Linked DNA regions of Arabidopsis thaliana. The protein of the gene in region 2 interacts with the protein of the main gene of each other region in a pairwise test. Each region holds a gene or a part of one and is shown on either strand. Other genes may lie near its edges.

Evidence for each region. The genes of interacting proteins can lie anywhere in the genome.
Region 1: the proteins of SIP2;1 (region 2) and AT4G29450 interact in a protein complementation assay, tested with the Arabidopsis thaliana proteins (one large-scale study listed by BioGRID).

The regions. Positions count from the first base shown.
Region 1 is NC_003075.7:14,477,509-14,484,236, forward strand, and holds AT4G29450 (Leucine-rich repeat protein kinase family protein), read right to left. Parts: upstream 5,119-6,728; coding exon 5,043-5,118; intron 4,690-5,042; coding exon 3,649-4,689; intron 3,564-3,648; coding exon 3,356-3,563; intron 3,274-3,355; coding exon 3,202-3,273; intron 3,122-3,201; coding exon 3,041-3,121; intron 2,961-3,040; coding exon 2,815-2,960; intron 2,734-2,814; coding exon 2,492-2,733; intron 2,416-2,491; coding exon 2,289-2,415; intron 2,200-2,288; coding exon 2,137-2,199; intron 2,028-2,136; coding exon 1,838-2,027; intron 1,675-1,837; coding exon 1,329-1,674; 3' UTR 1,241-1,328; downstream 1-1,240. Other genes in the region: AT4G29440 (Regulator of Vps4 activity in the MVB pathway protein), read right to left, coding at 1-81, 173-213; PLA2-GAMMA (Phospholipase A2 family protein), read right to left, coding at 5,558-5,709, 5,838-6,011, 6,079-6,198, 6,305-6,422.
Region 2 is NC_003074.8:21,077,797-21,083,112, forward strand, and holds SIP2;1 (small and basic intrinsic protein 2;1), read right to left. Parts: upstream 2,061-5,316; 5' UTR 1,849-2,060; coding exon 1,561-1,848; exon of another isoform or gene 1,379-1,560; intron 1,304-1,378; coding exon 1,043-1,303; intron 955-1,042; coding exon 794-954; coding exon of another isoform or gene 790-793; exon of another isoform or gene 688-789; coding exon 615-687; 3' UTR 501-614; downstream 1-500. Other genes in the region: CRD1 (dicarboxylate diiron protein, putative (Crd1)), read left to right, coding at 32-130, 210-473; PIP5K4 (phosphatidyl inositol monophosphate 5 kinase 4), read left to right, coding at 3,161-4,362, 4,451-4,618, 4,704-4,869, 4,950-5,066, 5,155-5,316. UniProt on the Arabidopsis thaliana protein: Water channel required to facilitate the transport of water across cell membrane. Inactive in yeast cells.

The DNA of each region.
Region 1 (6,728 bases), on a different chromosome or scaffold from region 2:
CTCCTCAGTTGCTTAATCTGTGTATCCTTTTTGTTCTTCAGGATTTTCAGGCGTGAAGCCGCCATTTGTAAAGCAATTTTGCTTCATTATTGAAAATAACAATCACCCAAATGTATCAATATTCCGGTAATGTGAAGAAACTCGCAAGAGGAAAATGAGAAAGTGAATATACCATTTGGCAGGCTTGAAACTTCGATGAAGCACCTTCTTCATTGAGCGAAACTTGATTAGAGAAACGAAAGGTCAAGCCTTTTGAGGTCTTGTGGAGTCTCCGAGTACACACAATTGAAACGAAAAATCTGGGCTTTAAGGGTTTTTGTTGAGGAAATCAGATGGAAATTTTGTGATCTGAGGAAATGGACCTTCACGTGACACGAAGAAAAGTATCAATTTTGGAGAAGACGCAGAAGAAGAGGTGAAATAGAGACGATAAAAAAGAAAAATTGACTTTTGGCAAAAACGGGTTAAATAGTGTTAGAAGATTTTGATTAACGCGTCAAAATGACAATCATGTAAGAAAACAAAAACTCAGAAAAACGAGTTAATGAAAAAGACATGTGTCATGTCGACAGTAATTTAAACAAAAATCTTGTATATTAACATTATTGATTTTGTAAGGTTATTCAAATATTAGATTTTCCAACTTTGAATATCTTTCGTTACTCCAATTAATCCCCGAATCATTTAATATATAAACAATGATTTTTATCAGATCTTCATTAATATCAAAACAATCTTGAAAAAATAATAATTAAGCTAATAAAATTTAAAGCGTTACAAAATAACTAGATATGTATTAAATAATTATAACCGATTTTTTGTATATGTCTAGAGTTAGTGGGTCACATGTTTTGAAATGTCTTTAAATGTAGAGACACCGACAACAGATAACTGAAATACCATAAAACTAAATTTCAAAATTAGCATTTTTTGTATTAGACAAAAAAAACAATTGTTTAAGAAGAAATTAATTGATTTATTTTCAACAAAAATAACATGATAAAACTCTATACAATTTAATAGAAATATATGATTCATCACTCAATTCAAAGCTTATCAATTTGATCTATAGTACGTTAATTTCCTAGATCAGCAATTATGAGAAATATGAATCATTCATTTCATCACAAAACTATTACAAGTAGGATTTTAACGGAATCGACAACGATCGAATTTTATACAAAAGAATTTGAGTAGAAACCTTTTAGAAATTGTAGTCAATCATAATATGAATCTGACCATACAACACAAATAACCTATATAGAAATTATCCAAACCTCTTTTAATCCATTTGGCTTCGTCCTACTTCTCCGTAATCTCTTTGACTTTCACTGGCTCTGTGGCTCACGGTCCAGCTCAGCAGCTAGGCACTGTTTCAGCTCCGCTACGATCTGGTTCATCGTTGGTCTATTCGATCCTTTATCTCTGACGCAAGACATTGCCACATCCACAAACTTCCAAGCTGAGTCCTGCGAGAAGTCTCCCCGAAGCAGCGGGTCCACGACGCCGTCTAGTTCTCTAGCCTCAAAGAACGGCCAAACGTAGTGAATAACGCTGATATTGTCTCCTTCTTCTGTTTTGATGATGGCTCGCTGGCCAGTGATGAGTTCAAGAAGAACGACCCCAAAACTGTACACGTCGCTCTTCTCGTTCAGCACAAATGTTCTGTAGTATCTGTCACCACACGTCGCAAATTGGTTACCATGTATTCCTGATAAACTTAAAAAGGGTCCGAACTGAATTGGCCAACCCTAACCCTAGTCTCACTAAACCGCTCTGGTTTGTGAAGCTACCAGCCAGAACATGTGATCTGTATTGATTGTGAAAAGGAACTTACTCAGGATCAACGTAGCCGGGAGTGCCCATGACGGTAGTCACGACGTGGCTGAGATCGTCTTCAGGGAAGACCTTAGAAAGGCCGAAATCAGCAATCTTGGCTTCCAAGTTATCGTTTATTAGAATGTTTGCTGTTTTAACGTCTCTATGTACTATTGCTGGTCTGCATCCATCGTGCAAATACTCCAAACCTGCCAAGGGGGAAATAAAACCAGGTTTCACAATACAGAACTAGGCTAAACCAGGTTTGGTTTCTTGGTTAAGCCCTGAGGAATCAAGGTTGCCAAAACCGGGACCAACCTTGTGCAGAATCTATGGCTATATGGAGTCTCTTTTCCCAACTAAGATCCTCTGCATTCTCACCTGCATGTCCATAAACATAACACCCGTGAGCTCATAGGAAGCAAAGCAACAATTGGTAACAGAGATATATAGAGAGATAATAAGATGACTTGAAAGATAAGCCTGCAAGTTGCCGTTGGCCATGTACTCGTAGATGAGAGCCATGCTACGATCATCATCGCAGTATCCAACAAATGAAGCTAAGTTACGGTGATGCACTGTCAAAAGAAGCTCTGCCTGCAAACATTTTACAGTACTTAAGCATTTTAATTTCTAAAATATTTGATCATGTTTTTGGTGTTCTTTAGATCACCTCGACTTGGAATTGGTTAGAAGCCCGGGATAATGATGATGATGAAGTTCCTTTAGGTTTTGCCAATGAAGAATCGTTTATCATCTTTACAGCAATTTTAGTCCCATCTTCAAGGGAACCAAGGTACACAATACCAAACCCTCCTTTACCAATCACTTTATTGAAGTTGTTTGTTATGCTAGAGACCTCATTATATGTGAACCTTCTCTTCCCTGAAGGCAGGAGTGGTCCTGAATAGGCTCCTGAAATCAAAACACTCGTTTTTCTCAGCATAAAACAACTTCAATTCATTAATCCTGAAGTAAATATTCCAGCCATCTAACCTTTTTTTCTTTGCCTTAGTATGATCCATATGATAACCAAGACGACAACGAGAACGATCACTGATGCTGCTACAGCTATTGGCACGACCATGCTCTTCTTCTTCTTCTTTTCTTGACATGAGTTACAAAGGTTTTGCTCATCCGCACTGCAAAACAGAGGAAATCACAAGATTCAGAGAGAGTGCTTGTGTTGAATAACTTTCTGAATAATGCTAGAAACTGTTACCTGAGCGTAAGTAAACCGGCCTTTAACTTTTTCATAAGGGATTTTGGGATAAACCCAGTAAAATTGTTTCCTTTCAAATTCCTTACAACACAAGTAAATGTGTCAAGAGGCAAATTCATTATTTAAATAGACCAACACTGTGTATATTTGTGCTTACTTACAGGACTTTCAAATGTTTTAGATCAGCCAAAAACTCAGGCACATTTTGTTGCAGGTCATTGTTGGATAAATCCCTGAGAAAAACAATGCATAACTCTCTGATAGTTCATGTGCATAAAAAGTGGTGAAAAATGTCAATTGTATACGTATACTTACAATGACTCAAGAAGAGAGAGATTTCTAAATGCCAAGACTATTGGTCCTAGTAATCCGCTTGAGCTAAGATTCAGGGACTTGATTTGATGATTATTATTGTTGTCGCTGCATCCAACACCTTCCCAAGGGAATAATCTTGGGGAGCAAGGATCACCACTCCAAACCTTGTTCACTTTATAAGTTGCTTTTATGCTTTCTATAGCATGAACTGCATTACCAAGAGAAAATGTGACTATGTGAGTTTCAGTAGAAATCTAATTCTATCTAAATAGAGATTGAAAGTGGAAACTCACTGTCTTCAATTGTGGTGGAAAATTCATCTAGAGATTGTGCGGTAAAAATCTCTATAGCATTGAGAATCGGTGGAAGCGTTGAATCTACAGTCTTCTGAATAGAAATCCAGTGATCTTTACCAGTGAAAGCTCTTGGATTAGAAAACGTCGTTGAATATTTTGAAGAAGGTTCGAAAGAAGTTTCAGAAACAGGGGAACCATTCCACAAAATCTTGATCTTTCTAGTCTCATTCTTCTCTAGTGTTTCGAGTTCCGCGAAGTAAAGATATGCGTAGAACCGAACATTTGGATCGTCTGATGTCCAGAACAATTCCAACGGATCATCAACGTTTTCAGGAGCAGCAGCTGTCTTAATAACTTCATCAGGTGGACAATAACCGTTCTGAAAAACATCGATATAGCCCGATGTTATAATCGAGTTCCAGGAGATATTTGAGGAGTATGGAGACCAAATACGATCGAATCTATCGTCTTGGTACCGTCCTGTTCCGTTTAAATATCCAATGTCCCATCTTCGATAGAGAACCAAAGAGACATTTCTTCCAAATTCAGTACCGTAGATTGAGCTGTTCACTGGTCGGAGCTCTAACCCTGAAATAAAAGGAGTTCCTTTGCCTTTATTCACAAGGCAAACATATATTGTATCCGACTCTGCAAAGCTTAAAATCTCTTTGGTGACTTGATCAGAAGCATTTTTGAATTTCACTGTCGACCAGAAGTTCACGTTTACATAGAGATCAAACTCAGGCAAAGCTTTTTTACCATCGTAGTTTCCATACATAAAGGAAGCTCTAATGAGATAAAGATGATCTTTTCCTTGTGAAAGTTTTAAGGTGTAACAGTTTCTGTTTCCTTGAGGGAAAGCTCTTACTTCAGCAAGAGTTGACAGCAATACCGGGTTTTTTGGATAGCCGTATTCTTCAGAGACCTTGAAGTTTACGCCGGTGGTTATGAAAGCTTCATCGGAGACGTAATTAATGTTAGTCATAGTGTCTTCAGGGGTATCGTAAGGAGGTATGCCACAATCGATGCTGATGTAACCTGGATCAGAGGAGAAGAAAGGGGAGTTACTTCCAACACAAGTAAAATTGTTTATGACGTCTGAGAACGTTCATGGATAGGTTTAAAAATCTGCCTAACTTCGTTTCTCTATATTGACAAAAACGTAGATCACAACTTTCAAGAACCTTCAAGAACATCGGTCAATTTCAAATTAGAAAACAGAGAAAAGAGAGAATTGTATGATTACTTGTAACACAAGACATTGTATAAGGGTTTGACTAAAAATCCAAGACATGTTTAAAAGACAAAAACTTTTCATAATAAAACTCAAGCTTTCTTCAGTCTGAACCTCGCCTCAATTTCAAATCAAAACAGAGAGGAGAAGAGGGAACCTGATTGGTCTTGGCCGTGAACTAAAATGGTGGTAACAAGGGCACAAAATATGCCGAAAACGAGATTAGCCCTCATTTTCTTCTCTCTTTTTTCAGAAGTTCTTCAGCTTACCATCTTCAGGAAAAAAACAGACTACGTGCGAGTAAGATAAGCTTAATTAAAAGCCAAAAAGTGCAAAGTCTACTCTTTATGGTATTAGCCAGGTGTTTGTAGACTTTTCTTTCATCATTGGCTCAGTAACTATATATATTTCCCACTAAGGACAGGAAGACAACCTGGATTTTATAAGATGGAATTAGTGACAATGTCACGTTTTGACTTTAGTGAAGTTATTAAAGATGTGATTAACATCCAAAATAATAGATAAAATACATAGACTGAGTCATTGATTGCCAGTTGATTTTGATCTGGGACAGAATTCAAAGTCTTTTTTTGTTTTATGAATTTTCTATAACAACGAAGTTACAGAGAGTAGTCACTTTAGAAGATGATCAAGAAATAGTACTAGAAGGGCTCATATATTTAAAGAAGCAGAGACTTTGGAGCCTTCTTTTGTTTGAAGGCCTAGTTTTGTTCCAAGGCCATCCTTTGTGTCCACTTTACTCCGAGCGAGATCCACCTCCACGACGGGCACGCTTCCCAGCACCGGGGGATTAAATATATTACCTGCGCAGAGATTATTCACATATATCTTATCATAAGAAATGTCACAATGTAACAGAAAAAGAGTCATGTGGTTTCATCACTAGTACTAGCTTATATTGAATGTCACAAAATCAGAGCTCAATAATTACCTATCCCACTGAAGAAAATGCCGTAATCCATTCCATTGAACACGGTTGGTATCACTATCGAATAAGGGCATTGTGTGGAGAATCCAATCTTTTCTCCGTTAGAGTGTTTAATAGATTTGCTTAGCTTGTTTACGCAACGTTTGAACTGCTTGTGGCAGTTAACGTAAGTCATACCTAATAAAAACCAAATATTAACTCAAGAATGGTTTTCATGCATAGATTATGTTGTTGATTGGTTTACCTTTTAAATCAACACAATTGTCATGAGTCATACAACAAGCATCAAGATCATCACAAGGTGGCTCTCCAGGACATCCAAAGTAACCTATCCCACAATACTTCCCATAGCGAATACCAAGACCTGAAAACAAAGATTGGATCAAAACATATAATGCATGCACAAGTTTTTTTCTCCAAAATCAAAGGAAGGCATAAGAACTAAGATGATAAGAAAAAAACAATCTTACTGTTGCAGTTCTGTGCAATGCAGGTGTTGCTGCACTTCTCCTGGCTGCTAACGACGGCGAGGAGGAGGAAGGCGGTTAAACCGAAAGCAACACGTGACAAAGCAAGCCCGGTGATCATCTTTCTAAATCTCGCTCTCTGGTTGAAGTTTTTGGGTTTTGTGTTCTTTCAAATTCTGTCCCAAACTATTTTTGGCTCTCTCTGGAATGGAATATCCCATTTTTGGTTGGTCCTCCTGCTTTCTTGTCCTTCCCCTCTCTCTCTCTTTTACGTACACAAGAATTTAAAAAATGAAGAAGTTGCATGACTACCAATCAAATCATCATATTTTATGGACGTTCCTTCTCGAAGAAGCATTATCATGGACGGTAAAAACAGAGTATCATTTTTGTTACCTCTTGGAACAGAACACGTTTAAGCTATGTA
Region 2 (5,316 bases):
GGCCTAACCAGTAAGAGGATTGGCTTTACAGGTTTATGTGACAATGTACCTCAATGACTGCCAAAGAACTAATTTCTACGAGGGTATCGGGTTAAACACAAAGGAGTTCGATATGCATGTCATCATCGAGGTAAAGGAACTTGAAACAAGAAGATTAATATTAACCTGTGTTATGTTCCTTTTTCTGAAAATGTTGAGATTTGTTTCAGACAAACCGAACCACGGCAAGAATATTCCCTGCGGTGCTGGATGTTGAGAACCCTGAGTTCAAGAGGAAACTGGATAGAATGGTTGTGAGCTATGAGAAGCTGCTGGCTATAGGAGAAACAGATGATGCTTCCTTCATCAAGACCCTCAAGAGGATTCCTTTGGTTACTTCTTTAGCCTCTGAGATCTTGGCTGCTTATCTCATGCCTCCTGTTGAGTCTGGCTCTGTTGATTTCGCCGAGTTTGAGCCTAATCTTGTCTATTAGTAGCTGCAATGTCAAGTCTTGAGTTTACGGCTGGTTCTTGATTTCTTGTAATTGAATGATCGAAACTGAGAAACATCGTCTTTTTTTTTTTGCAATAAACTTTTACTGCATATATTTGATCATATTGCGCATTGGACTTACTTAAATTTCAGATTTTATTGAACTGGTTGATACAGTTGAGTTTGCAACATAAAAAAAAAACACATTACAAAATCTACGAAAATATCCCTGGAAACAATCCTACCCTCTGTGTCTTGTGTAAAGGAGATTTATCCAGAGAGGATTAAATATGAAAGCTGAGCTCATTCCTCATTCCTCACTCAGATTTGGCCTTAGGTTTCTCTTGTTCTTCGGTGAGAGGCTTAAACACAACTTTGAAGAACCAAACTGCAAGCAACGTAGCCTTCACAGGTCCAAGCCAATACACAAGTAAATGCTCTTTCGTTATATGTTCACCGCGTGCATAAGCCCATCCCATAACCTGCAAAGATTCACACAAAAGCAAACATTCAAAACAAAGATCGCTATTTGCTGAAATCACAATCACAAGACTTTTTTTTGGTACATACAGCTGCAGGGTTCATGCATCCACCGGTAAGATCAGAGCCAAGAATATGAAGAGTTAACTTAGCAAGACTACCGATCCAAGTCTTCATGAAGAAACTTCCCGGGATTTTTCTTGTTAGTCCCATTGAGAGCAGTACAATGAAGAATGTTAGTATCCCTTCTGTTAAAGCACCGTGGTGAATTGCTACATTTAGTTTAGGTCCTTTCCCAATCTCAGGGAATACGTGAATGATATGCTTAACCGCAAGAATTGATCCTATTACCTGAAATAACACAAAACCAGAGTTTCACAATAGTATCATCTTTGATTACACATTAGAGCAAAAGATCTTCAAGATGAAGTCTTTATAAAACAATAGAGCATATAACCAAAATGATCTGGTTTTCAAAGAAGAACCCATCAGCTAAATTCTCCTTTTTTTTCTCTAATTTGACATTTTACAACATTACACAAACCCTGAGACCTCTCTCTAACGAAGAGTCAATTTCAATTAAACCAAAAAAAGTCAACGAAACAAACCTCGACGGGGATTCGAACGAAGACGGAGAAGATGAAACTGCTGAAGCCACCGGAGACTCCAGCAGCCAAAGCGGTCAAAGGATTATAAAGCCCGCCTTTGGTGGCTTGTTGAAGGTAGGCGAAGATGAACATGGAGATGATAGAGAAGAGATAACGAACGATCTCACCGGAAGGATCGGTCCGGCTAAATCCAAGAACTCCATGGACTAAAATGTTGACCAGAACTCCTGCCCATATCCACATGAACGACAATACCAGATCAGTCACTACTAAACCGATTCGTCCCATTTTTCGATTCCAACGATGAGAACCAATTTCTCAGAAAGAAAGAAATTAAAAGTTAGCGTTTTTATGATCTGAATTTAGGATAATTGAGGACCGTTGAAGAGAATCGAGATTATATGATTGGCTCTAAGCGGCTGGTGAATTTAGCATATAATTGACGCTAGAGACATTGTTTGAGTCTGAGTCAGCTTCCGACAATAAAGGTTTTGGCTTTGGTGTGTCGTGATGAGATTATAGATTCTCTTCGATTTTGGAACGAGCTTCGGCTATTAACCAATAGACATCAACTAAAGTGATACGTTATTACTGGATAAAGTATTTACTTTACACAGTTAACTAATAATTACAAATAAATTACTACAATTAGCCTTCTTAAGAATTGTTTACAAAAAAGCCCTCCAATTTTAACCTGCGACGGAAGTTTCCCCTCAGGAAAAATATGACCTTTTGATCTTTACACGCTTGGCTTTGGGTTGTAACTTTTGTCTCTCTTCTATCGTTTATGGTGTTTGAAGCTTCAGCATTGGGAATGGATCTTTCCTTTTGAAAATAAGTTGTGAATATACGGAAAAATGTGACTTGTTAGTGGAGAAGCAATGCGTTTAAAGTGTTCGACAGAATGCCTCAGTGAGTTAGAGTTTCAGTTACCTCTGTTTTTGATTATAGCTCTTAGTGATCTCAGATTGGAGACGTTATCAGTCTTGGCTAAATTGATTAATTATTACTTTTTCCGATTTTTTTTGTTCTGAAGAAAATATGTTTGTTTATGAGAGGAAAGCTCGGAGATGCTAAGAATAGAGAAAAATGGGTCATGCTTGTTTCTCTAAATTTGAAGGCTTTCATTGGTTTGAGGAGATGAACGGTTTCTTCTTTGAACGACATAATTAGTTAAGATGAATTGACAAGAAAAGATGAAATGTCGGAGAGAATTTTTTTGATCCCTTAACTCTTTTGGCCATTGGTTTTTCTCTCTCTCTGATTCTTTGTTAGGTTTCCATGATTGTTCATATCAGCTTTCACTCCGAAAATGTTGCATTCTAAAAGACCAAAAAACATTCTTTTTTCTTGTGATTCAATGGCATAGAGACAGGAAGTCACAGAGTAAAGACCATTGCAGATTTCTTCATGCTGCGTTTGATTTAATGGTTTTAGGTTTACACTTTGTTTTTTCTTTTGCACAGAGTTCATGGTTTTCTCTTGTGTATGTGTACATTGATAGGATTGTTGTTTAGACAAGAACAAATATGTTTTCTGAGTTTATGTTCTAGGATATACATATAGGTATCTTAGAGAAAAGTTTTATTAGTTTAAGAAGATGAGCAAGGAACAAAGCTGTGTTCTAAAGGCTTGGGAGGTGACCGTAAGAAAGACCCAACAAGCGAAGAAGCGTGCAAACAGCATTTTTGGGACGGTATCTGTAGCTCCACAGACAGATGATGATGCTACTACTACGACTGAGGAGAATGATGATGAGACCAGCACTAACAGAAGCAGCATAGGGGAATTGTACCATGCAGAGAGAATACTTCCTAATGGAGACTATTATACAGGGCAATGGTATGATAGTTTTCCTCACGGGCATGGGAAGTATCTTTGGACAGATGGTTGCATGTACATTGGTGACTGGTACAACGGGAAGACTATGGGAAGAGGGAAGTTCGGGTGGCCTTCTGGTGCCACATATGAAGGCGAATTCAAAAGTGGATACATGGATGGTGTTGGCCTTTACACAGGTCCTAGTGGAGATACTTATAAAGGTCAGTGGGTGATGAACCTGAAACATGGACATGGAATCAAGCGTTTCGCGAATGGAGATGTGTATGATGGTGAATGGAGGAGGGGTTTGCAAGAAGCCCAAGGAAAGTATCAGTGGAGAGATGGGAGCTATTACATGGGGGAATGGAAGAACGCTACGATCTGTGGCAAAGGTACTTTTATTTGGACGGATGGGAATAGATACGACGGATTTTGGGATGACGGTTTTCCTAGAGGAAACGGTACTTTCAAATGGGCTGATGGGAGTTTCTACGTTGGTCATTGGTCTAATGATCCGGAAGAGATGAACGGTACTTATTATCCATCAGGAGACGACGGGAGTCCTGAATGGGATCCTAAAGACGTGTTTACTAATCTGAGTGAGTACAAGATCTGCAGCGGAGAGAGAGTTCCTGTGTTGCCTTCACAGAAAAAGCTATCTGTTTGGAACTCTTCCAAACGTGTCGAGAAACCGAGGAGGATGTCTGTTGACGGGAGGGTAAGTGTGGGTGTAGATAGAGCGTTTGAGAAGATGAATATGTGGGGAACCGAAAGCGGAGAAGGTGCTGCTGATATTGATTCCACCACGAGGAGGGACTTGGATGCTGAAATGATGAGACTAGAGGCTGAAGGGTTCATTCAGAGCCTGAGACCGAGCCCTGCACCTATGAGATTGCCAAGGGCAGGGAGGAAGCAAGGCGAGACGATATCTAAAGGCCACCGGAATTACGAGCTTATGCTTAATCTACAGCTTGGAATCAGGTAAATATCCCAGTTTGCTGCCTCATTTATACAATTTGAAGTTTTGTTGATGTATAAGCGCTCATGTGAAATGTATTTGCTTACGCAGACATGCTGTTGGAAAACAAGCTCCGGTTGTGTCTCTTGATCTTAAGCATTCGGCTTTTGATCCAAAGGAGAAGGTATGGACAAGATTTCCACCAGAAGGAACCAAATACACACCTCCTCATCAATCTAGTGAATTCAAATGGAAAGACTATTGCCCATTAGTTTTTAGGTGAGATCAAATAACATTAGGCTTTACTTATTTCCCATCTGTACGTATTCTCACACACTGTTATGCTAATTTTATCTATCTTTAGGAGCTTGAGGAAGCTATTCAAGGTAGACCCAGCTGATTACATGTTATCGATCTGCGGGAATGATGCCCTTCGGGAGCTATCATCCCCTGGTAAGAGTGGAAGCTTTTTCTACTTGACAAATGATGATCGTTACATGATAAAGACAATGAAGAAGTCTGAAACTAAAGTGAGTTTGTTTTATTTTAAAATGACAAGATGAAAAATATGTAGCTGCTATTAACTTTATTCTGGAATTATATAATGCAGGTGCTTCTGAGGATGCTTGCAGCATATTACAACCATGTTCGAGCATTTGAGAACACTTTGGTCATTAGATTCTACGGTCTCCACTGTGTGAAGTTAACTGGACCAATCCAAAAGAAGGTAAGAATTAAGAACAATGCTAAACAGACAAAAAAACTGAGACTTGGATTTTGATTGAATATATCATCTCCTTTATTGCAAATTGCAGGTGCGGTTTGTCATTATGGGAAACCTATTTTGTTCTGAGTACTCCATCCACAGACGCTTTGATTTGAAAGGATCTTCTCTTGGCCGTACAACCGATAAACCTGAATCGGAAATCAATTCAAATACAATTTTGAAAGATCTTGATCTGAATTTCATTTTTAGA